4 linked regions of the Danio rerio genome follow. The protein of the gene in region 1 interacts with the protein of each later gene in a pairwise test. Links are inferred from orthologs where the notes say so. Each region holds a gene or a part of one and is shown in the gene's direction. Other genes may lie near its edges.

Evidence for each region.
Region 2: the proteins of apip (region 1) and tnpo2a interact in binary tests that used the Homo sapiens proteins (3 or more experiments, as listed by UniProt). The two-hybrid records come from large-scale screens. The link is inferred for Danio rerio from reciprocal best matches to the Homo sapiens genes APIP and TNPO2.
Region 3: the proteins of apip (region 1) and PDZ domain-containing protein 4 interact in a two-hybrid assay, tested with the Homo sapiens proteins (2 studies listed by BioGRID and IntAct). The two-hybrid records come from large-scale screens. The link is inferred for Danio rerio from reciprocal best matches to the Homo sapiens genes APIP and PDZD4.
Region 4: the proteins of apip (region 1) and nudt18 interact in binary tests that used the Homo sapiens proteins (3 or more experiments, as listed by UniProt). The two-hybrid records come from large-scale screens. The link is inferred for Danio rerio from reciprocal best matches to the Homo sapiens genes APIP and NUDT18.

The regions. Positions count from the first base shown.
Region 1 is NC_133182.1:51,744,845-51,750,335, forward strand, and holds the end of apip (methylthioribulose-1-phosphate dehydratase), read left to right. Parts: intron 1-2,153; coding exon 2,154-2,202; intron 2,203-2,286; coding exon 2,287-2,404; intron 2,405-2,472; coding exon 2,473-2,608; intron 2,609-3,240; coding exon 3,241-3,408; intron 3,409-3,494; coding exon 3,495-3,594; 3' UTR 3,595-3,622; downstream 3,623-5,491. UniProt on the Homo sapiens protein: Catalyzes the dehydration of methylthioribulose-1-phosphate (MTRu-1-P) into 2,3-diketo-5-methylthiopentyl-1-phosphate (DK-MTP-1-P).
Region 2 is NC_133178.1:17,597,473-17,604,197, forward strand, and holds part of tnpo2a (transportin-2), read left to right. Parts: intron 1-158; coding exon 159-265; intron 266-1,729; coding exon 1,730-1,863; intron 1,864-1,947; coding exon 1,948-2,029; intron 2,030-2,754; coding exon 2,755-2,877; intron 2,878-3,261; coding exon 3,262-3,380; intron 3,381-3,990; coding exon 3,991-4,051; intron 4,052-4,095; exon of another isoform or gene 4,096-4,164; intron 4,165-4,239; coding exon 4,240-4,411; intron 4,412-5,457; coding exon 5,458-5,610; intron 5,611-6,156; coding exon 6,157-6,382; exon of another isoform or gene 6,383-6,461; intron 6,462-6,655; exon of another isoform or gene 6,656-6,725. UniProt on the Homo sapiens protein: Probably functions in nuclear protein import as nuclear transport receptor. Serves as receptor for nuclear localization signals (NLS) in cargo substrates.
Region 3 is NC_133198.1:264,116-270,016, forward strand, and holds part of PDZ domain-containing protein 4, read left to right. Parts: intron 1-2,087; coding exon 2,088-3,863; 3' UTR 3,864-5,901.
Region 4 is NC_133183.1:55,667,858-55,674,582, forward strand, and holds part of nudt18 (8-oxo-dGDP phosphatase NUDT18), read left to right. Parts: intron 1-1,316; 5' UTR 1,317-1,326; coding exon 1,327-1,479; intron 1,480-5,094; coding exon 5,095-5,308; intron 5,309-6,725. UniProt on the Homo sapiens protein: Mediates the hydrolysis of oxidized nucleoside diphosphate derivatives. Hydrolyzes 8-oxo-7,8-dihydroguanine (8-oxo-Gua)-containing deoxyribo- and ribonucleoside diphosphates to the monophosphates. Hydrolyzes 8-oxo-dGDP and 8-oxo-GDP with the same efficiencies.

The DNA.
Region 1 (5,491 bases):
CAATTGAATCGGGCGACTCATGAAATGGTAATAATAAACGTTTACAAAGTGATTTAAGGCTTTCGAAAAACATGATCGCAATATATATGTCCATGCCTAATATCCGATGGCCAGAAAGTGAATAATTTTTTTGTAAAATTGTTAAATTTTGGGTATTTGTTATGCAGCAAGCCCAGAGATTGTGTACACTATGATTTTATATAAAATTAACTTTAATGTGTGATAGGAATAAAACGTGATCATAAACGAATAATTTCTCCACTCAAATGAATGGCGGCTTGGACCTGGAAACAGTATTACATACGTCACAAACACGTCATCACTTGACAAGCGGATTCAATTGACTTATACCACATGTCTTTGGACTATGGGAGAAACCGGTGCACCCGGAGGAAACCCACACCAACACAGGGAGAACATGCAAACTCCGTACAGAAATGCCAACTGACCCAGCCAGGACTCGAACCTTCTTGCTGTGAGGCGACAGTAATATTTTGAAATTGTATTATTTAGAAGAAAGCCAAAATGCGCAAATATAAAACCACTTTTACTGCAACTGAAAAGCTTACTTTACCGTTTAACTTTACTTTTAAAGTACTATGACTACTAAATATAATATGTTTCGTTTACCTGACGATATTTATTATTTTATAGACGTTGTTTTATTTTATTTTATTTTTTTATTAAATCACATTATTGGAAGAAAAAAATAAAAGTTTTTTTTTTTTCTGCATTATGGCAATGCTGCATCCCTGATATGAATATGATATGATTACTGTTCTTTATCTCAGAAGTCTAAAATATTAAATATTGTTTTATTTATTATATGTTTGCATTATGGTGAGAAATTGCAAACTCTTGTGTTTGTAGGATTTTTTTTATATATATATTTTTATCAAAGCCATAAGTTTTTTTTTTTTTTGTATTATGTTTGAAGTCTGTCTGTATGATTGATGATCAAATTTTAAGACAGCAATCCACACACACACACACACACACACTACGGGCCAAAAGTTTGGGGTTAGCTTTTATAAAATAAACTCATCAATGCAGCATTTATTAAATGTAAAAAAAAAAAGTTAAGTATGTATTAAACATTTTTAATAACTGCTTTCTTATTTAATGTAGTTTCAAATGAAATTATTACTCTAGTCATTGTTGTTTTTATTACTTTTACATTTATAATAATAATTGTAATAATAATAATTAATATTAGAGTGATTTCTAAAGGATCGAGACTCTGAAGACTGAAGTAATGAACCTAAAAATCTTTAAAATCACTGGAATAAATTATTAAATTAAATGATAAACTACTTTTGATTAGTTATTTTATACTGCAAAAACGTTTCACAATTTTACAATTTGTGCTGTATTTTTGATGAAATAAATGCAGCCTTGATGAACAAGATGAGCTTATTATCAAATTATCGGTTTAAAATGATTTAAGACCTACAACTCAATATTTCAGTGAATTTAAGACTTTTTTAAGACCTAAATTCATTGAAATATTTTGTTTTGGGTCGTAAATCATTTTAAACAGGTCTTTATTTGGCTTTGTCCAGGTAAAGCTACTCAGTTGGGCTGGCATTTATCCAATCACCAACAATCCATCTCAATAAAACCTTATTTGTTTTTTATTTACATTTTTTTTTTATTGCAAGGAGATACAATTCACAACAGCTATTAGACATTTTTACAGCAAATTCCCCATTTAAAAAATAAAAGAAAACAAAATATAAATATATGTTCTTCATGATATTCCTGGTAATAAACAGTATTAAAAACAATATTAGTCTAAAATTTCATTTTATTGGTCTTAAAGGGGTCCAAAAAACTCTCAAATTTGACTTTATTGTTTAATTAAAATGTTTATCTAAGTAGTCAAGTTAAGGAGTAAAGTAGCTAAGTAGCAAAGTTAAAACATTAGGTATTATATTGTCTTAGAGTGAATTTTAACATGTCTTTAAACATGACATTATTTTGACAAATTTTCATGTACACTGTAAATAACAATACAGACATTATTTTAAATGAATACCAGTTTTTGACATGGTTTTAGATGTCTTGATTCAATTCTAATGCACAGTTTAGTTTTTGAGCTGATTATTGATTGTTTGTCAAGTCTTGACCTGACTATTTGTTTCTTCTTTTAGTGAGCACATTTATATAGCTCCCTCAGGTGTTCAGAAGGAGAGAATACAAGTAAGGTTTTTTATTTAGTCATGTTGTTGTTTCTGTGTAAAATGAAATAATGCTAAAATAAACTATAACTCCCCTGCTGTGTAGCCAGAGGACTTGTTTGTGTGTGACATTGATGAGAAGGACATCAGTTGTCCTCCTCCACAGAAGAAGCTGAAGAAGAGCCAGTGCACGCCACTCTTCATGAACGCCTACACTATGAGAGGTACATGTCAACACAGAATGTACTGTTTTTAGTCTGTACCGTGTTACATCGTCTTGTCTTTTTCACAGGTGCTCAGGCAGTTATTCACACGCACTCAAAGTCTGCTGTAATGGCAACTCTCCTGTTTCCTGGAAAGGAATTCCGTATCACACACCAAGAGATGATTAAGGGGATTCGGAAAGGAAACTCAGGCACAAACTTCAGGTTGTGGTTCCTGTTATGATGCTTTATGAACACGATTTTAAATTTGAGATGTAAAATGAAGCAAATGAAAGCATATACATACATGATACCTCTTTGAAATCTTTAAGATCTCATTTTTATATCAATATTTTACAACTTACCTTGATTTAAAATAATATATATTGTGTATATAAATTATATTACTCAGCACCAAAGCCAAATCTCTTTTAATCTAATTAATATAATAATCATTTACTGACTTTCAACATATATAACATATATGTTCTGACAGCTGCAGATGTGAATGAATGGTGGAAGAAAGTAGTTTCCTTGTACAAAAGGGATTTTGTGACTCGCTGTGTTTGATATTCTCTTCTATATACACGATTATGTCATCAAACTGTTGTATAAATGCAAAATTACACTCATAGCAGTGCAATATGGCTGTATATTGAATGTATATTTGGATGACTTGAACATAGTTTAAATTCTGTAAATATCTAAATATTAGCAATATTAACTCTTTAACGATAAAAAAGGTGACAACATTCCATTAATTGTGTTTTATAAATGGTTGGAAAAAGAAACTGAAAGTAAAATGTGTCAGCGCCTAATATCCTTCTCTTCTTCTATTGTGTTGTGTTTTTACCCAGGTATGACGACACTCTAGTTGTTCCAATAATTGAAAACACCCCAGAGGAGAAAGACTTGAAGGAGCGGATGGCCCGAGCCATGGACATGTACCCCGACTCCTGCGCTGTCCTCGTCCGCAGACATGGCGTCTACGTCTGGGGAGAGACTTGGGAGAAAGCAAAGACAATGTGAGCTGGGGAATTCAATGCACAACTTTGTTTGTATTTTGTAGAAACATACATTATTGATCTTTTACATCACTATTGTTTTCCAGGTGTGAATGTTATGACTACTTGTTTGACATTGCTGTGCAGATGAAACAGAGTGGTCTGGATCCTTCTGCTTTTCCAACTGAAGAAAAAGGCATTGTTTGAGTCTGCATAATAAAAAACTATAACTGTGTGTGTGCGCATGTGTGTGTTTATAGCGATTGCTCAAATATGCAACTCACAATTTTGTGTTTGTCATTTAAACGGCACCTATTTTATCCTTTTTTCAAGATCTAAGATAAATCTTTTGTGTCTCCAGAAGTTTCAGCTCAAAACACCCATCATATTACTGATTATAGCTTTAGAAATACTGGAATTTTCAGCTCTGAACACAATGTAGCTGTTTTTGTTGCCTGTGCATTTAATGTGAATTCTCTCTGCCCACCGTTCCCACACGCCTCTCAGTGTGCCTAAAACTCCGCCTCAGCCACATCAGATAAACAGCACAGTGACAGACATGAAGGAAGCAGATCTCAGATTTAACGGTTGTGAGAAATACTACTGTAAGAAATTTACCAATGATTATTTGATGTATTTGTTGTGGAGTTGCAACGATGAGTCACACAAGGTTACACATGCGCACACATATAGCGGACACACACACTGTGTGTTTAACTTTGCACTGCTTTTGCACGCAAGTGTGACAGGATACACATTAATATTCACTGCTGCATGGATATCCGTTATGTTACTGTACAAATATGGGGCTGTGGACATAAAGACGTTAAAATTGCTGTAATTCATTTACATGCCCTGTTTTAAAAACGTATTAAACTTGTACAATTTATTCTTGATCACATTTGATGATGATTGATGATCACAGCGAGCTGAACAGATCTTTTAATCCCAGTTGCTTTGCACACATCCTGTCTTGTTGATATGATTATACGCGTTACTGCGAAGACATGTTAATACAGGACTGTCAATCAATTCAGTGGGCAACTGCACTCTTACGTCACGTTGCGATTGGCCTCAAAATGGGAGGGATTTGGATCCTATTTTTTGACATCAGGAAATTTTAAAAAGAGACTTATATTGTCTTTATATGACTGTGGACACACTATACCTACACAGTTCTGTTCAAACAGCACCCAAAAGTATTTCATCATAGGTGTCCTTAAGATAAAACACTTTCAAAGTCATCAAATTTGAATTTAATTACCTTAACAACAATATTCCTTTAATTTCGCAAGCCAAGTTAAATGTCAGTATTATGTCAGAATTCAATGTAAGAACGCAGATTAGAAAGGTCATCATTCTGATGCTAATGAATGTCATGTTTTTGTTTGGGTGTTTTGATGCTTGGGAACAATGGCATCATAATGTCATAATTAGCATTAATTGCAGCTACTTGATTTTAATACAAATTACTATGATTGGTTTAAATATACAGTTAAATTAGTATAGGTATTGACTTCAGTTTTTATATCCTGTTAATAAGCATATGTTTAAATAGAAAGTGGTTTTAATTTACATTTGGTGCCTTTTTTCTCATATTGAAATGCACTTCACATCAGAGGTTGGGTTAGCAAGATTATTTGTGTAATATATTTGCAATTATAGATTACTAAAGCTGCACTTGGATTACAAAAATAATTTTTAAAATATGCAATTTTGAAATAATATTACAATAACCATTGTAGTACCTTTGTAATATATTCAACAATTATTTTATCCTCTAATGCCAAACTGCAATTTTTCAGCAGCTGCTAATTTAGTCTTCCTATTTTGATTAGCTTCTCAAGAAAAGAATCATATGGAACTGTTTGCACTAGCCAGATGTTTGAGCCTCACATTATGTTTGTAAATCTAGCATTATGCGTTGTCATGCAGCATAACCAAGAGATGGCAGTGTTGCCTTGACAAGATATCTTGCGGAAGTGCCCTCTGCAACTTCAAACATGTTTGCATTTGCCATTTTTAGTAAGTCTGCATTTAACAGCTTGAGAGTCAGTGGAATATGAAAACAAGTGCACTGCGCCAGAGTCGGGACTTACAGAAA
Region 2 (6,725 bases), on another chromosome or scaffold:
ATTAACACCCATTTTTGTGGACCATTTTGAAAAATCTTTTTTGATCCACATCAAATGTTGACTAATATACATTGTGAAAAATAACATGTATTATATAGTCTCAAAGTTAAAATCCAGTTGTTGGAAGGAAATCTGATGTTCTCTGTCTCTATTTTCAGGAATCCTCATCACAACTATTTCCACCAAAGGGGAGCTGCAGACATGGCCAGAGTTACTGCCTCAGCTGTGCAACATGCTCGACTCAGAGGACTACAACATCTGCGAGGTTTGTGCTGTTGTCTTGCATACTTTTTTGAACACATTTGCATAAGAAAATGTTGAAGATGTACATAAAAGGGCTGCATGAAAAATCTGACATTGCAATATTTTGTTTTGCTGCGATATAAATATATATACACTTGGTGATTTGAGTAGCTCTATTTGGTAAGCGCTTCGGGCGAACCGTATGCCAATGCAAAAACCGGCGCGTTTAAGGTCCGTTTTCTTTAAAAATCAGCGATCTCCATTAGCTGAGTGATATCTGATATAAAGTGGGTCTCAGATTGTACAAGAAGCATTGTATTAAATAACATTTCCCCTGCCATGTCTTTATAATATGAGCATTTATTTTACCCCAGTATAGTCAATGGAGCTTCTGCGCTAGCCTGCCAATTCTGACGGGCACATGCGAGTAAACGGCTTTTTGTCTCGTTTTACGCTTGAGCAACTAAATGAATGCCAAAGTTTATTTAACTGAATGTATTTAAATTATATTACAATATCGATGCTGTAAAAGGAACCGTATTAAATGGAAAAAAGTTCACAATAACAGGTCACCGGAAGTTTATCAGTATGGCAAAAACACTAGCTCGGCATATACCCTAGTATTGATGCTTAATCTATATATTGTTCAGCCCTAGTATGTAATGTTCACAGATTCAGATGTCTGATTTGAGTCACAAGCTCTTGATTCAGTTGGGTTATTGATTCGATTCTCAGTGCTTAATTCAGATAGTTGAATTTAGGTTTAATACAAGTCCAATTGATATATCATCAGCTTAATTTCAGGATTATGGGTGCATTAAAACAGAACCGACCTCCCTTTCAGTTGCATGGTAATATTAAACATAGCAGTTTTTTTCAGTGTTTGTATATATAAAAACATTTATTCGTTTAATATCAACACTAGAGTGTTATTAGGCTATAGTTTATTTAAGATGTTTGACATAGATCAAGTCTTATCTTTAGTGAGAATTTATTTATTTTTTTTGCAATAAGCCACAAAAGTGAAACGAGTTGAGCTCTCAGGCACTAATTTGTCTTTCTCTGCGTGATGCTTTAAAATGTTTTTACTTCAAACTCACTTCATAACTGCAGTCAAGTGTTTATTAGTCATCCTGAATTAATGAAAACAGTTAACTTTTGTTTATAATGCAACAATACGTAAATTTTGGGAGTTGTTTACAGGTGTTTGATTACAGCTTTGCTCAATAGCGTTTGCTAATTGCACATCCTTTAAATTATCAAGTGTGTCCTGTTCAATTTCATTCAACATGTTTTTTTCCTTTAACTATATAAGCAGAATTGTGCTGTATGACCGTTGCAAAACAGCTATTTAGGAAATACTGTCCATTTGACATTTCTATATATTGTCACCTCTGCCACACTTCAGATGTGCTGTTGCATCTCACACCCTAAAATACAGAAATATAGTGAGATTTAAATTTTTTTTTTCTTTGTTAATATCCAGGGCTCATTTGGAGCTCTTCAGAAGATTTGCGAGGACTCTTCTGAGCTACTGGACAGTGATGCTCTGAACCGACCTCTAAACATCATGATCCCCAAGTTCCTGCAGTTCTTCAAACACTGCAGCCCCAAGATCAGGTTTGTTTAGAGGATTCTTCATCTCTCTTGGAACAAAACGCTTTATACAATGAGGATCTAATGGTTGTTCTTGTGGTTTTGTAGGTCTCATGCTGTTGCCTGTGTGAACCAGTTCATCATTAGTAGAGCACAAGCCCTCATGGACAACATTGACACTTTTATTGAGGTACTGATCCATGTGCAATGGATTTAATAATATCCATTCTTAAAGTTTTACTAAAGCAACCCCCGCTTAATGTAATGAAGTGCAAATGTCACAATAATTGTTAATTGATTTTATCAGAAAAATCTTTGTTATTAAGTCATTATTGTATTTTATATACCTATAAAAATTTTATATTGTCAACTTATCATTAATTGATCAAATAAAGTATTTTGGATGTTACCATGCTATTACTGCTTTATTTATAAATTAAACAACTGTAAAATTCTTTGAAATTTCAAATTATAGATGAGCAAAAGTGAGCAATGTTTTTTTTCTACTGAGGAGAATCTTTATTTGTGCATCATTCTGTGAAATTCATAAATTATACAATCTGATAATTACCATCTACTTAAACAAATGGAATTTATTTTAGTTACTTTTAGATGAAATGTATAGTTTTTTTTTATTGCTCAAGAGAAGCAACTGCCCATGTAACATCTAAATAAGCATGTTAACAAACATTAATTAAGCTTTTAATTTGACTAAATTCTCAGCAGAAACAGCAAAAAATGTAAAGGAATTATGAAGTAACTTTTGTGTATTGATTTAAAAAAACAAACAAAACAAAAAACAAACAAACAAACCACAACTTCATGTAAAACGTCAAGAAAAGTCTATTAATTGGATATCCCTAATGATTGTGTGCAGTGTTTTAATTTAATTTCTGTGTGTGCATGTGTTTGCAGAGTCTGTTTGCGCTTTCATCAGATGAGGACTCGGAGGTGCGGAAGAACGTGTGCCGGGCTCTGGTCATGCTGCTGGAGGTGCGAGTAGATCGACTCCTTCCTCACATGCGCAGCATCGTTGAGGTAAGAAGCAAACTTACTGTCTAGATGTTTCCCTTTAAAATCTGTACTTAAAAAAAAAATGATTCATTTAGTCTTATATTTTTACTCCATTAATTTTCATTTTTTACTCAATTTTTCTGAACTCTATTTTACTGGTAAACTTTCAGTAGTCAAAAGACCAATCATAGTTATCATGAAACTCAGGAAGCTTAATTTATTTTAATTTTAATGAACCCTGTGCCATATTTAGGTAGTAATATTTAGTAGTTATAACTGTGCCATATTTAGGTAGTAATAACTAAATATTTAGGTAGTCTCTTAAAGTGTAAAATTTACAAACAGTAGTCCGTTTTGTGATTTTGATGTGCAGCCTTGTAATATGTACAATATTGACTGTTTGTACAGTACATGCTGCAGCGCACACAGGATCCAGATGAGAACGTGTCTCTGGAGGCCTGTGAGTTCTGGCTTACACTGGCTGAACAGCCCATTTGTAAAGACGTCCTGTCTGGACACCTTGCACAGTAAGTGACCAGTTTGCATATACGAGAACTGAAAGTATATGCATTTTTTTTTCTCCGATAGCCATAAAACTTTGCTCAACACTGAGTTTGTGTAAGGACTAGTATGATTTTTTTTTTAATATTTATATATATATATTTTTTAAGAATAATTATTCACCTTTTTTCAAATTTCTTTGGCTAGTCTTTTTGTGTGACTGTTTATTTGCCTGAAAATATAATACATATTATCAAAATATAATAATCCAGATTAGTTGACACTTCTGTGGATGTTTTATTATGATAGTTTCAGTAATGCATTGTTTTTATTAGTTTTAGTATTATTACAATCGATTTTCATTAGACTGTTAAAATGAAGAAAAACTTGTTGACATTTTCTTAGTTTTTTTGTTTTTGGTTTGAATCATGAAAGCTTCACTAAAATTCTTTAAACATTTAGCCATTCAGCACATTTTAAAAGGCTAGATATGAACACTGAAAGAGTGCTAACTGATTAGCACATTTTTACCCTATTGTCAGAGATGCACTTATTATCAGTCTTTAGAGTATAAAATGAATATCACATCCATCTGCAATATTCTGAAGTTTAGTATGACCTCATCTTCTCTCCTAGACTGGTTCCTGTTCTGGTCAACGGCATGAAGTACTCTGAGATTGACATCATTTTGCTAAAGGTTAGTTGTTGGAGATAATAGTAACTCCTAGAAGCAGTTTGGCCTCAGGTGTGATGATAAAATTTCTCTTGACGTTCTCCGTGATTTTCAAGTATTCATACTGTCTGACCTGAGCTCTTTAATTAAGTTGTTACAGTGTCGATTGACCCAGCCGTGTTTCATCACACTGATCTGTTACTTCCCATTAGGGTGATGTGGAGGAAGACGAGGCCGTGCCTGACAATGAGCAGGACATAAAGCCACGCTTTCACAAGTCTCGTACGGTCACTCTTCGGCACGAGGGTGATGAGGGGGAGGAAGGAGAGGACAGTGAAGATGATGACGACGATGATGATGACAGTCTGTCCGACTGGAATCTACGTGAGTGCTTTTCCATGACAAACTAACTACTTGCTGCTTGAAAAATGTTGCCCATTTTGTAATGTAGCAATTTATTGATTGAGTAGCCTAAATTGGAATCAGAATTTTTTTGTTTTTTTGTGCTTCAATTTTGTAATTTTTTTCCCAGACTTGCATACAAACTGCACTGTAGTGATTTTGTAGTACAAAGTGTTTTAATGGACAGGGTTTAGAGAAGCCAAAGATGCAAATCAGATGCTGCAAGGGATTGGCCAAGCACCCAGAGCAAAACAGAAAATATTCTGCATTAACAAATATTGACCTTTTGTTCATTTCGAACTTTCTTAAAAAGATTGTACAGATCAGACTTTTGTGGGTCGTTTAGACTATCGGTTGGAGTTTTAGCTTTTCGAAGTTTGGGGCCAAAAGTAACAGGATATTTGTACATTTCATTTGTGCAAATCTTTATCTAAAGCAAAAGTGATTATCTATGCTTCATTATAGATATAGAGTGCACTATAGTAATTAGCATTTGAAACAAGTGGATTAAAACCTTTCATTAAAGTTGTAATACTATTGAGCAAGTCCATTTTTTTCTTATTAAAAATATTTTCTGATCTGCTTAAATTGTTGTCTACTTAAAGTATGCGTTTTTTTCTTTAAAGATCATCTGTGTTATTCAGACTGTCTACGAGTTTTATGGAGCAACATTTTACAAAGCTGAAGTTAAATTGTTTTTTTTTTTACTCCTTTTAAAATATTAGTGTAATTCAGTATTGAAAAAAATATTTTAGAAGTATAAAATAAAAGAGAAAAAATCTAAATGGGTCAATTTGAATGTAAAAAAAATCTGCCATAAAATCTAAATCAGTGCATTACTACTGTAATAAAGCAAATAATCTTTGCCCAGAAAAATCAGTGTCTGTTGTGGAGATGATTACAAACTGTATCATGAATGTCAGTGATGTTCAAGTATTCATACTGCCTGATCCACAAAACAAAGTTAAAATGATTCTCAAGGTAACTGAAGATCTGATTTGATCTGAGATGTGTTTTTTGCTCTGAAGGGAAGTGTTCAGCAGCTGCTCTTGATGTCTTGGCAAACGTGTTTCGGGATGAGCTGCTTCCTCACCTGCTTCCAGTGCTGAAGGAACTGCTGTTCCACCCTGACTGGGTGGTGAAAGAGTCAGGCATCCTGGTGCTGGGAGCCATTGCTGAAGGTATTTGAGACCATGGATAAGATGAGACCGCTGATAAGACTATAGGTTTGGAGAGAAGTGCACAGAAATGACTCTTTGAAATATCATTAGCTTTTAGTACAGCAGTTATGGGGAAAGATAATCGAGAATGCATCTTTAAGTCACCATTTAAAACTATTGTTAAAAAGATCCAAAAATTTTGCTAAATGCGGTGCTTATTTAGTTGTGAAGATGATGAAATGACACCATAAAATATACATGGAAATATGGCTATATTAAACAACCCTAGTTAAACAAGGTTAAACAATTCTTCAGAATCAACCTTATATTCTTATTTGTAAGTCAAACATTTCTTGTCAGTATTGAAATGTGTTGTGATTTATAATATTGGATTCTACAATGGATATTTAAATAAAATGCTTCAATTAAAAGTATAAAATATCTATTTGATATATTAAATGTTATAATATTTAATGTGAAAAATTAAATGTATTCACTTAGGATGCAAGTCCATTTAAATAGTCATTAAAAAAGTGTATCTGAAATGGTTGCTCCTTTTATCTTCAGGCTGTATGCAGGATATGGTTTTGTACTTGCCGGAGCTGATTCCTCACCTGGTCCAGTGTCTCTGTGATAAGAAGGCACTGGTTCGTTCCATCGCCTGCTGGACTCTGAGCCGCTACGCACACTGGGTGGTCAGTCAGCCGGCAGACTCCTACCTCAAGCCCCTCATGACTGAGCTGCTCAAACGCATCCTGGACAGCAACAAGAAGGTTCAAGAGGCTGCCTGCAGGTGTGTTTGACCTGTTCATTGATATTGATGACTGATTTAACCATGTCTGAATTCTAAAACCATAAACTATCCTTAAAAGGTTTCATTTTATATCAGTCGTCACCAAACTTGTTCCTGGAGGGCCGGTGTCCTGCAGATTTGAACTCAAACCCTAATCAAACACACCTGAACAAGCTAATCAAGGTCTTACTTGGTATACTTGAAACATCCAGGCAGGTGTGTTGAAGCAAGTTGGAGCTAAACCCTGCAGGGACACCGGCCCTCCAGGACCAGGATTGGTGACCCCTGTTTTATATTATAATCTGTTGGAAGGAGTGGTGGGACATCAACATCGACTTAAACA
Region 3 (5,901 bases), on another chromosome or scaffold:
CACACTCATAAAGGCCAGTGTAGTTGATCAGTTCCCCTATAGCGCATGTGTTTGGACTGTAACCGGAGCACCCGGAGGAAACCCACACCAACACGGGGAGAACATGCAAACTCAGAAACACCAACTGACCCAGCCGAGACTCAAACCAGAGACCTTCTTACTGTGAGGCCACAATGCTAACCACTGCGCCACCGTGCCGTCCATCGTTTAACTCTAATAAATAGAAATATAAGTGTGCAGGTAACACAATAAGCACACAGTGTCATCCATCATCCTGAAGCTGAAGGTCATCTTGAGCAGGATACAGCAGTCATGCAGAGCTCTCATGTTTGATGAAGCACCACACAGCACAGAGAGCAGGAGAGTGAGTGTGCTGAAGTCAAGAGAAGATGCAGATCATTGTGTTTCAGTTGGAGTCTTCATTGATTGGGGACAAACCCCATCGGCTGCCAACTTGCTTAAACAGCCCTATTCATCATCTTTAGCCCATGTGGAAGCCATAGCAACAGTCCGTATCCCACCGGTGAATATTTAAATAAAACATAATGCAACCCCCCGAAGGAAGAACTAGTTCATGAATACAAATAGACCGAGTCAACATGCGGCGACGTCTGAGGCCTTCACAAACTTCATTTAGCTTGATGCCATTTGACATGAAGCTGCGCGAGCAAATCAGGATCTCGGAAAACACAGCTCATTTGCATATAATAATCACATCAGTGGACGGCAGTGTGCACATGCCAATATGTGTTTAATAAAGCAACTCAATCAACAGTGAGATACATCTGCATATGTACAACGCTTTAATCATATTCTACAGTCAATCATCCTACTTCAGCTTAGTGTCTTATTTATCAGGGGTCACCACAGCGGAATGAACCACCAACTACTCCAGCATATGTTTTAAAAAGCGATACCCTTCCAGCCGCAAACCAATACTGGTAAACACCCACACACACACACACACACTCATACACTATGGCCAGTATAGTTGAGCAGTTCCCCTATAGCACATGTGTTTGGACTGTGGAGGAAACCGGAGCACCCGGAGGAAACCCACACCAACACGGGGAGAACATGCAAACTCCACACAGAAACACCAACTGACCCAACCGAGACTCAAACCAGCGTCTTAAGTGCTGTGAGGCCACAGTGCTAACCACTGCGCCACCATGCCACTCCATATTCAATGTTCATACAGAAATACATCAGATACAGAAGTGTGCCTCATATACAAACCAAATAACACCACATACAGGACTAACAACATCTGAACACTGAAGGGTAATTTTGCAAACTGTCACTGAAACTGTGCTGTTTCAGATTTGGGGTCAGTAGCACACAAGTGTGTGTGTGTGGTGGTGTGTTTTAGGGAAGGTCCAGATGGTGTGTGGGCCCGTGGGCCCGTGTATTCCCCAGCACAGGTGGTGGCTCATTTGGAGGAACCTCAGGTTTGATTGTCTAGAACAACAGATGGGAAAGACCTGAAGTCAGTCAGAGTAGCAGAGCTTGAGCTTAGTGAGATGCACACTGCCCTCTGCTGCTCACCACGGGACATCTGAGGTCCTGCATGTTTCTTTTTGCTGTTGATTATTCAGATATTAGCTCCTTTGCACTCAATTGAGTGTCTCCCCTGTGATTACGTTGGTGCTTTGTTGGCCCAATGACTTCCATTAGAATCACATTTATTGATTGCAAAGCCATGGTACAAACGTGTAACTAAAAGGTCCATATTTAATACCTCATGGGTACGTATTAGTACCTAAAAATTACAAATATGTACATCTTGAAAATTTTAGGTACTAATATACTCCTTTCAGGTACCAATATGGACCCTTTAAGTAGAAATGTGTAGCTTTTGAGAAGGTACCACCCCAGTGACAGCTCGCGTAGCTTTATTTCTGAGACTGTATGATTGTGGATCTGCTCCCTGTTAAACAGAAATTAAGGACAAATCTATACAGGAGGGTGAAGATCTCTTCAGTTGTGCAGAACAGCCCTGTAAAGACAGAAGTACAGTGATTCTGCAAGTGTCTTGAAATGGTTTGCCTAATTTATATGTTCTCTTTCTTCTACAACTCAAACAGAATGAGGCTGATGATCTGGATCTAGAGTTGGGCATGGGCCTGGATCTGGAGGACTTGGAGAACGCCTCAAACGTGCCCAGCCCACACCACCGCAGCAAAGCCAGCTCCCTGCTGAGTGACGTCAGCGGGATTCGAGCTAATCGGCCGAATTTGTGGCACACGGCCCTCAATAACAGCCAGGAGCTGGACAGCGGTGTGGGCCGCACGGATGAGAGCACACGCTGCGAAGAGTCCTCAGAACTGGCTGAAGATGCCACCAGTGCATGCACCACCAACGCCACCAACACGCCGGGCAGCCTGCGCAAGTTTAAAGCGGCTCAGCATGGGTTTGAGTTCCACTACAGCAATGACTCTTTACTGGGACCAGATGGGGTGGACCACGGAGCTCCTGAATCACTGGGAGCAAGCAAAGTGCCGGGGTTAACCGAAGAAGAATACGAACGCTACCGAGAGCTTCTGGAGATCCGCTGCCTTTACGAGAAGAACGGAAACGCACTTCTGTATTTGGATGGAAGAAACCAGTGTGACTTTGCAGGGGGAAGCATCCCTGTCGATATGAACTGCAACGAGAGTTTGATGCAGCACGAAATCGCTCTTCTGGATGAGGAAATACGACATCTGGAGTTTAAATGGCGCAATGTCTTGCGCGCACAGAAGATGCAGCAGTTGCGCCAACGCTGCTTAAAGGTCTGGCCTGCTGATGAAGAGGACGATGAAGACAAAGGAGCAAAGGCAAGATGTGGAGGCGCAGAATCAATCCACCATGACCTCTCGGATATCAACGAGATCCCAGAAAGGGAGCGTTCTGATAAGGAAAGCACAAGCGCATATAACACTGGAGGGGAGAGCTGTAGGAGCACACCTCTGGCTAGCGAACGAAACCCTTCGCTGTCCGCAGCTGGAGACTCCAGTGCCTCTGCAACCATGCGGCCTCGGACGCCACGTCACAAAACAAGGGAAAGGAATCCAAACTCTGCAGACGTCAAGAAAAAGAGCGAAGAATTGGGGGACGTCAAAAATCCAGCAGCAAGGGTTAGGAACGGCGGCGGTAGGAAGGGTTTGGATGGACCGCGAAGGGGATCCCACACTAATGGAGCTAGTGGGGTAGTAAAAGGGGGACGGAGTGCTGAAAACAGCCCATATCTGTCCCGCCGGCACTGCAGCACCACACTGCCTCAACGCTACCAGAGCTGCATGCAACTGAGAGATGTGACCATCAATGACGGGAATACTGAAGAAGATCCTGCTCACTCCAGCACGACACCTACTGCTAATAAAGACACCACTGCTACTGCCGTGAATATCCCACCTCCATCTTCACCTAGGATGGAGTGGAAGGTGAAGATCCGCAGCGATGGCTCAAGGTACGTGGCTAAACGCCCTGTAAGAGATCGTCTGCTGAAGGCTCGTGCCATGAAGATTCGTGAGGAGCGCAGCGGGATGACCACAGACGATGACGCGGTGAGCGAAATGAAAATGGGGAGATATTGGAGCAAAGAGGAGCGCAAGCAGCAGCTGCTGAGAGCCCGGGAACATCGGAGACGGCGGGAGTTCATGATGCAGAGTCGACTGGACTTCTTGAGGGAGAAAGAAAAGGAGCAAGACTCCGGACCACAGGCTTCCATACTGGAGCTGAGCCAGAAGAAGAGCATGAAGAAGCGCAGCCGACGCATCCTGGACAACTGGATCACCATTCAGGAGCTGCTGGCTCATGGATCCAGCTCTGTGGATGGGAAGAAAGTCTACAACCCGTTGCTCTCCGTGACCACTGTCTGATCGACAGCCAGACTCTAATGAAGTAAGAGTGGAGATGACTGCAAAGTTTAGCCAAGTCTGATGAAGATGCCTAGAGGAATACTCCAGAAACATTGATGGTGGATATAAACATGGCAAACACAGGGCCGAATGCAGAATGAATGTACCTGTTTTCATAATCTGTTTGTAAAAATGGCTTTAATGCTTGAGTTTGAGTCACACTCGAGACTGTTACAATCCAGCGCTGAGGATCTGGAGCATCTCACTGGATCAAAACATTCATTCACAAAGACTTGTCAGATGAATGAAGCGGTGGGCTAGTTTAGTCCTGGAGATCCAGACTTTAGGTTGACACACACAAAAAGCTTAATAAGGAGTAAAACCAGAGTGTGAATTACAGGAGGGTTTGGGGGATCGATCCTCTGATTAATGCTTGATTCCCCTTTAAACGACGTCAAACAAGATGCATGCAGGGTCAGCCGAGTGAGAAATCTGATCTGATCTGTTTCTTAATAATGGAAATAATAATGGCGGCACGGTGGCGCAGTGGTTACACTGTGGCCTCACAGCATGAAGGTCGCTGGTTTGAGTCTCGGCTGGGTCAGTTGGTGTTTCTGTGTAGAGTTTGCATGTTCTCCCCGTGTTGGTGTGGGTTTCCTCCGGGTGCTCCAGTTTCCCCCACAGTCCAAACACATGCGCTATAGGGGAACTGATCAACTACACTGGCCGTAGTGTATGAGTGTGTGTGTGTGTGAGTGTGTATGGGGGTTTCCCAGTACTGGGTTGCAGTTGGAAGGGCATCCGATGTGTAAAACATATACTGGAATAGTTGGCAGTTCATTCCGCTGTGGCGACCACTATTAAATAAAGGGATTAAGCTGAAGGAAAATTAATAAACAAATAGAAATTCACTAATTTATTCATTTTCGCCACAGCGGAATGAACCGCCAACTTATCCAGCATATGGTTAGCTGCAACCCATCTCTGGGAAAACCCATACACACTCATTCACACACACTCATACACTACAGACAATTTAGCCCACCCAATTCCCCTGTACCACATGGGTTTGGACTGTGGGGGTAACCGGAGCACCTGGAGGAAACTCTCGCGAATGCAGGGAGAACATGCAAACTCCACACGGAAACACCAACTGACCCAGGCTCGAACCAGTGACCTTCTTGCTGTGAGGCGACAGCACTACCTACTGCGCCACTGTTTCGCCCCCAAACAGAAATAATAGATAACAGATATACATGTGACCTCCCCTGTAACGGTTCATACCCTTGAGTGCATAATCATGCCAATCAGTCAACATGAGAGAAAAATCCTTCATTAGTCTGAAACTGGCAGCACTGATTAACACCGCAAGTCTTCACTTGTTTATTCCTACATTGAGCCTACAAGCAGTCCAATTAGAAGCAAAGTTTGACCTACAGAAACCTCTGAAACAGCTAATCAGAGGCTAATATAAGTCAGAACACACTGAATATCCCACAAAACACTTCAACATGTTTTATTAATAAATGAGATTTAAATGAAATAAACGCATCAGTTTGATTCACTGAAGCATGTACGACTCAAGCTAACAGTACTGAAGGAGGTGATCTTCACACCCTGAGCATCCTCTCCGGGACCAAACGTGATCACCCCTGATCAAAGACGTGTTAATGATCAGGAAATAAAGCACACCGAGCAATCAACATTCTGTTGTATAAACCGGTTTCTTATAGTCCTTTCACTCCACCGCTCTGCATATTCACACCACTCCTATTATTAGTTCAAGAGTTCACGCTAAGATCTTGCAGGTTCTGCATGCTTATCTGGGAGAGAACCTTGAGCTCTGAGATAACTGAGCCCAGGTCTCTCCAGGTCAATAAGCATATAAGGGGGTCCGAGAGCAGGCAGGTGCCGACAGCTCCCCCTGGTAAAGGAGGAAAGAGGGAGATGGGCTGAAAGCGGGGATTCTTCCAGAAAGAAGATAAGGTAGTCGGGTGAAATCGCTCTATTTACTGTAGGCTTGAATCAATCTGATCACAAAATGTGTTGGTAAACCTTC
Region 4 (6,725 bases), on another chromosome or scaffold:
TTGAGTTACTTTTCAAAACTGAGCTGGTCGGGTTTGGCGATCCTATCCCTCTGCATTTATCAGGTTTTGGTGAGCTTTCCACTTATCAAAAACCTGTTGTTAGAAACCTAGGATTTCAATTCGACAATGATCTGAAATTTAACAAGCAATTAAATACAATTGTTAAATCCAGTTTTTTCCATTTACGACTTGTGGCAAAAGTAAAGTCGTTTCTTTTAATTTTTAATGACCTTGAGGAGGTGATCCATGCTTTTATTTTGGGAAGACTTGACTATTGCAATTCCCTGTATGTGGGTATTAGTCAAAATGCCCTAAATAGATTGCAATTAGTACAAAATGCGGCTGCGAGACTTCTGACAGGGACTCGCAAGTTTGCACACATATCCCCAGTTCTTTCCTTTCTGGGCTGGCTGCCTGTTAGGTCACGGATTGATCTGGCACCATCTTACTTATTAGACCTGCTACATGTATACAATCCTGGTAGGTAACTGAGGTCTTCTGATGAATTTATTCTATCTATACCAAGGTCCCGGTGTAAGCGGAGTGGGGATCGGGCTTTTGCTGTTGTCGCCCCAAAACTCTGGAACGGGCTTCCTTCCCACATCAGACATGCTCCAACTCTACCTGTTTTTAAAAAGCATTTGAAACGCCATCTTTGTTCTCTAGTATTTGAGCCTTTTTAATGTTGAGGGGTTTGCCTTATGTTTTAATTGCTATGTGTGTGATGTAGATTTTATTTTTAGTATTGATTGTGTTCAGCACTTTGGGCAACGTTGTGTTGTACAAAATGTGCTATATAAATAAATAAACTAAATAAATAAATAAACTAAACTGTTGCCTTTCTATCAGCTGGAACAAGTCTGGCCATTCTCCTCTGACTGCTGATGTAAACAAGGCATTTGCGTCCCAGAACTGCCGCTCACTGGACTTTTTCTCTTTTTCGGACCATTCTTTGTAAACTCTAGAGATGGTTGTGTGTGAAAATCCCAGTAAATCAGCAGTTTCTGAAATACTCAGACCAGCCCGTCTGGCATAAACAACCATGCCACATTCAAAGTCACTTAAATCAGCTTTCTTCCTCATTCTGATGCTCGGTTTGAGCTGCAGCAGATCGTCTTGACCATGTCTACATGCCTAAGTGCAGTGAGTTGCTGCCATGTGATCGGCTGATTAGAAATTTGCATTAACCAGCAGTTTTGACAGGTGTACTTAATAAAGTGGCCGGCTAGTGTATTTTTACTGTAATAAAACTGACTCTTCTTGGCAGCCTCTTTATTTGACGATGATATTAATTCCATTCTGTTGTCAAATTAAAGCAGCTCCGCCATGGACTCGCAGTCATCGATTCTGGAGGAGAACTTGGAGAAGATTTTGAGGGGTGAGGGTCTCGAGTTTGATTCAGTCGCTGAACAAGTGGACCCAGTCACACTGAGGAAGAACGTGTGTTATATTGTCGGCGCAGTCATTTTCAATTCAAAGGTAAAGATGGTGTTGTTGTTCTTGCATGTGAGTGTTGTCTATTTACTGGAACAAGACTGTTTGGTAGCAAGGAATGAAACTGAAGGCAGCACAGTCAATGTGGCTTAATTTACAGTATGCCAGTGTTCAAGAATTATTCTCAGTACTTTATTTACATACTGGTCATGTGACCATGATCTAAATATTGAAAGATATTTCAAACCAAGTTAGGTTTGAAAATAGATTAATAATGAACAAAAATGAACAAAAGATTAATGCAATTCTCATTCAGGAATGTTTTGGGATGCACATACAGTATTTGTGTCCTGTTCATATATAATCCACAAGAAAACCTAATATTCTTAAAATTTCAATGGGTTTTGAGGACTTCCTTTTAAAAAAATTCAGGACTTATGGAGTCTTTGTGGTAATGAACTGCAGACGAGACAGCAAAAAAAGCAATTTCTCGTAAAGTGACAGAATATTTAGTTCCTTCCTCCGATCTGAAACCTAAAGTTATTTTGTACAAATAAGAAAAATGGCAAGTGGAATCGGACAGCTGTTCAAATAACAAATTGCAAAAGATCAATCCGAGCATAGAAGACAGATGCTTTAATCATTTTAGTTTTGAAAGCAGCTGAAAGCATGACTAAACTGTATATACTAGATGTCGAATTGCTCACTCTAGGTTGGCTCATTTATTGAAGAGCGATGCACCATCAACATGTAGGCACTGTAAAGCTTTCCTTAACAGAATATAGATTTTGTTAGAATGTGAAGTTTTAAAGACTGCAAGACAAAATCTTTGATGGATGACTTTAAAAATGTCTCCCAGAAAAAAACATGAAATTATTACATATCTGACAGAAAATTTGTCCTGTTTTTAATGTAGAGTTTAATGATTTCTTTTGTGTCATCTACAGATTTCTACAAAAATTTCAGCCAACTTTCAATCTATTTATTTTCTTATGTCAATGCGTGTATTAGGTTTATAAGTTTATCTGAGTCTTTAATAGTGATTTAAGTAATATCATTGCCTAATTTGCAAATATTTAAATAATTTATGGACAAAATAATTTGTAAATATTTTTGTATTTTAGTGGATGCATTATATGACAGACCTGCTGTAGCTTTGTTTACCATACAAGTGCTTCTAATGGGCTGTATGCACAGCTAGAGTTTTAAAGCCAACGATAAACTTCCGGTGAAAGCTTAATGTGACTATTTTCAATTTCACAATGTTGTTTTTACAGCCTCAATGTTGTAATTTAATTACAATACATGAGACTTAAGCATTCATTTAGTTGTTCAAGCGTAAAATGAGAAAGACTGTTTGAAAATGGAAATGGAAATTCCTATGAAAATACTGGGGTAAAATAACTGTCATATTACAAAGACATGGTGGGGGGAAATGGAATTTAATGCAGTGCTTTTAGCCCGATATGAGACCCACTTCATATCGTTTATCTAACAGGCACTGAAGATCGCTGATTTTTAAAGAAATCAGATCTTAAACCTGACAATTTTGTAAGAGAAAAACAGTTCACAGGAAAAACAGGAAGCCCTGCCTGGCTGAAAATTATAATTCAGCATGTAAATAGCACATTTGATTTTGATTGTAAACTTTAATTAAAAATATTTAATAATTATTTAATATAATAAAAAATATAATATAAACTTTTCTTTCTTTCTTTTCTTTTTCTTTACAAAATTGTGCAAATAAATAGCCAAAAAGTCTGCAGAATCTGTCTGGCCTTGGTAATATCGGGCTTTTTTATCTTAATTGATCTTTTCACAAAATAGCCTCAAAGTTGTTGATATACAGTATGTCACAAAAGTAAGTACACGCCTCACAGTTCTGCAAATATTTATTGAAATTTTTTTCATAGGACAACACTGCAGAAATGACACGTTGACACACTAACAAGTAGTCAGTGTAGAGTTTTTATTGACCTTATTCTAAAATGCGGAAGTGCGCCTGTTATCGCGATTGTCTTAGAACTTCCGATTCAGTCACCTATGGGAGAAATGAGTCGGAAAAATAAACGGCAGAAAACGGTCAAACTACTTGCTCTACAAACAAATGTTTGCATGACTATACAGACCAAGTAGAATAATATAACAAGAAAATATCAAATTGCAACATCAAGAAGCGTAACGAGCAGTTTTTAACAGCAAAAAATGAATAGAAGTGAATAAGACCGGAGGTCGCGAGCCAAAAAGAGTCAAATGGCAGCGAATAAGTCGGCGGAGAATAAGGTGAATAGCGGTGTAAATTTATTGGCCTCTCAAAATGCCATTCAACTCTTAGTCATAACCCTAATTCATGATGCCAATTTTACCAACTGACACATATTCTCAACTCTTTCTGATTTGTTTGTTAATTGACCCTTCGCTAAACCCCACCCAAAAACCGCCACCCACCAATCGTGGCTTAGCAACCGTAGCTACGCGCAGGGAATTTTTTTTCACTTTTTAAAACCAAAAACTCTAGGGGAAAATGCCAGCGTGGATCAAGCTCTGTGAGGGGTGCTAAAGAAGTGGAGTTAAGTTGGTTTTTGTTTTGATATTCCTGACACATTCAGTGATAGACCGACGACAATCACTCACACACCTCTTACCCTAAACAGATTTAAACTGTGTTTCCAGCATAAATACAAAGCAGATTATGTTTCACAGCTGTCTTTTTTTTCCGCTCGATATTATGAGCACTCTGTTTAAGCCCTCGCCATAGTAGGCATACCAATGAGTTATATTCATGAGTTATTGATCCGGAAAATACAAATCTGATGCTAACTTTACTGAACGTCATATTTCCATCTATTTCAAGCTACGAATATTTCAAATTACAAATCAACAGAACAAAACAGATATAATCACAAACTGGGCACTTGCGATCAATATACTTCACCAGCAGCTGTTCTTCATTAATTTATAAAGAGCACACAAACACACCCTGCTGAAAAATCCAGCTTAAACCAGCCTAGGCTGGTTGGCTGGTTTTAGCTGGTTGACCAGACTGGTTTTAGAGGGGTTTTGGCCATTTCCAGGCTGGTTTCCAGCTATTTCCAGCTTGGTCTTAGCTGGTCAGGCTGGAAAATGACCAGCCAAATCCAGCTAAAACCAGCTTGACTAGCCTGGTTTAAGCTGGATATAGCTGGTTTTGGCTGGACTCCCAGCTTGGCTAGGCTGGTCAAGCTGGTTTTAGCTGGTCATCTCCCAGCTTGGCCAGCTAAGACCAGGCTGGAAATGGCTGGAAACCAGCCTGGAAATGGCCGAAACCCCTCTAAAACCAGCCTGGTCGACCAGCTAAAACCAGCCAACCAGCCTAGGCTGGTTTAAGCTGGATTTTTCAACAGGGCACTGACAGTTATAGGTAACTTACTTTACATTTTTATGGGTCAATGATGCTAATATTCTTGACAAATCCATCAATTTCCCCTTTCTGGCTGCTCTTTCTATTAATGAATTATGTAAAGCTTAGCGAAGGGTCAATTACTTGTATAAATTAAAACGCTGCCCACTTGTGTATATATAATCCATTTGTGTATTTATTTCATCTGTGTTCTTCATTTTACTAGCCGTGATGCTCATCAGCCTCTCAAGACATCATCTGTGTTTGCTTGTGTTGTACAGGAGGAAGTGTTGATGGTACAGGAGGCAAAGAGAGAGTGTTACGGCAGATGGTACCTCCCTGCGGGTCGCATGGAGGAGTGTGAAAGCATTCTAGAGGCACTGCAGAGGGAGGTCAGAGAGGAGGCGGGAATCGACTGTCAGCCAATCACACTGCTGCTGGTGCAAGAGCAAGGGCCCAGATGGGTTCGCTTCATCTTCCTTGCTGAGGAAACAGGTTAGATTGAATGGTTGATTGTGGAGTTGCACACTATTGCTGTGTCCCAAATCGAATACTTAAACTACGCCCTAAAAGTATGTACTTTTTTGTGAAGGAAAAGTATATACTTTTGAGTGTGTAACAGAAGAGTATGCAAGCTTCGGGGCATACTACTTCCTCGTTAACAGATCGTTGTGCTGCTTAGTTATGAGCCCTGTCAATCATCCACACATCATCCATATTTCTGTCATATTTAATTGCCTACCTTATTGGAGAAGCAGCAGCAGGATAATCTGCCATTCACGAGTCTTTCATGCTGAGAAATCTCCTCAGGTCTTTGGGTAATTATGCATTCAGAAGATATGTCCAAACATATCTTGATATAAGTTCACATTGTTGTTGTTGCAGATGAAATAACACAAAAAACACAATTTAAATATTTTCCAGTTGGCTAGACATTGATTACCAGTCATACAAACATCTTTACCGAAGCCTCTCTACTTGACAGTTGGTCTCGCCCGTCCCTCATGTTTGTAGTTTGTTTACACTTTTCACTCGGGTTTTGTATTTCTAAACGATTTTATATCCAACGCGCAATGTACTATAGGCAGAATCAGAGGTTAGAATATGGATGCTTCAACACTTAAATTTTTACCGGAAATAGTAAACCATCAGGGAATCTTTGGCATACTTATTTCAACATACTACAACATGGGACATACTAATTCTATTTTCAAATACTATTTAGGACGGATAGTATTCGGATTGGGAGGCAGAAATTATTTCGAAATTAAAGTTGATGTCGCAAAATGGCTTAAAAATACTTAATATTGACATTTTCCCATAGTGATTTGCAGCCCTAATTCGTTTACAATGGGTTTTATTGTTGTTTACAATTAATGTTGTTTACAATGGGTTGTTTAAATGCACAGTATGTCATTTTCGCCACTAGAGGGTGTGTATTCACAACAAACAAAATCATAGTTTGATGATGCCGTGTAGTGGCACCTCATGTAGTTAGCACATGGTGTCAAACTGCAGTCACACTTCACTTTTAGCCAGAAGACTGGAAACGCAAGCCCTTGTTACTAGTTTCACATGTCACTAGCCGCATTTCCACTGTCGGGCCAGGGCTTTTATCGAGCCAGGCCAATCGCCCGGGAGGTTGAGTAGTGAGGCCGAAATCACATGGCGTTTCCACTGTCGGGCTAGTACTAAAACAAACAAATGACACGTTACAGTACAGCATAACATTATATGTCTATACACACAGGCCTGTGTGTTCTTATTCATCATATACACGTACTCGCCGACAGACCGTTGGCTTCGAACTTCGAGCGGTCTTGCCACTAACGGAGGAACCCAGCGCAGTGAGTGCACCCATCCAAAATATAAAACCACAGAAATTCTCTGTTAATAACTCGGTATGAAGTGT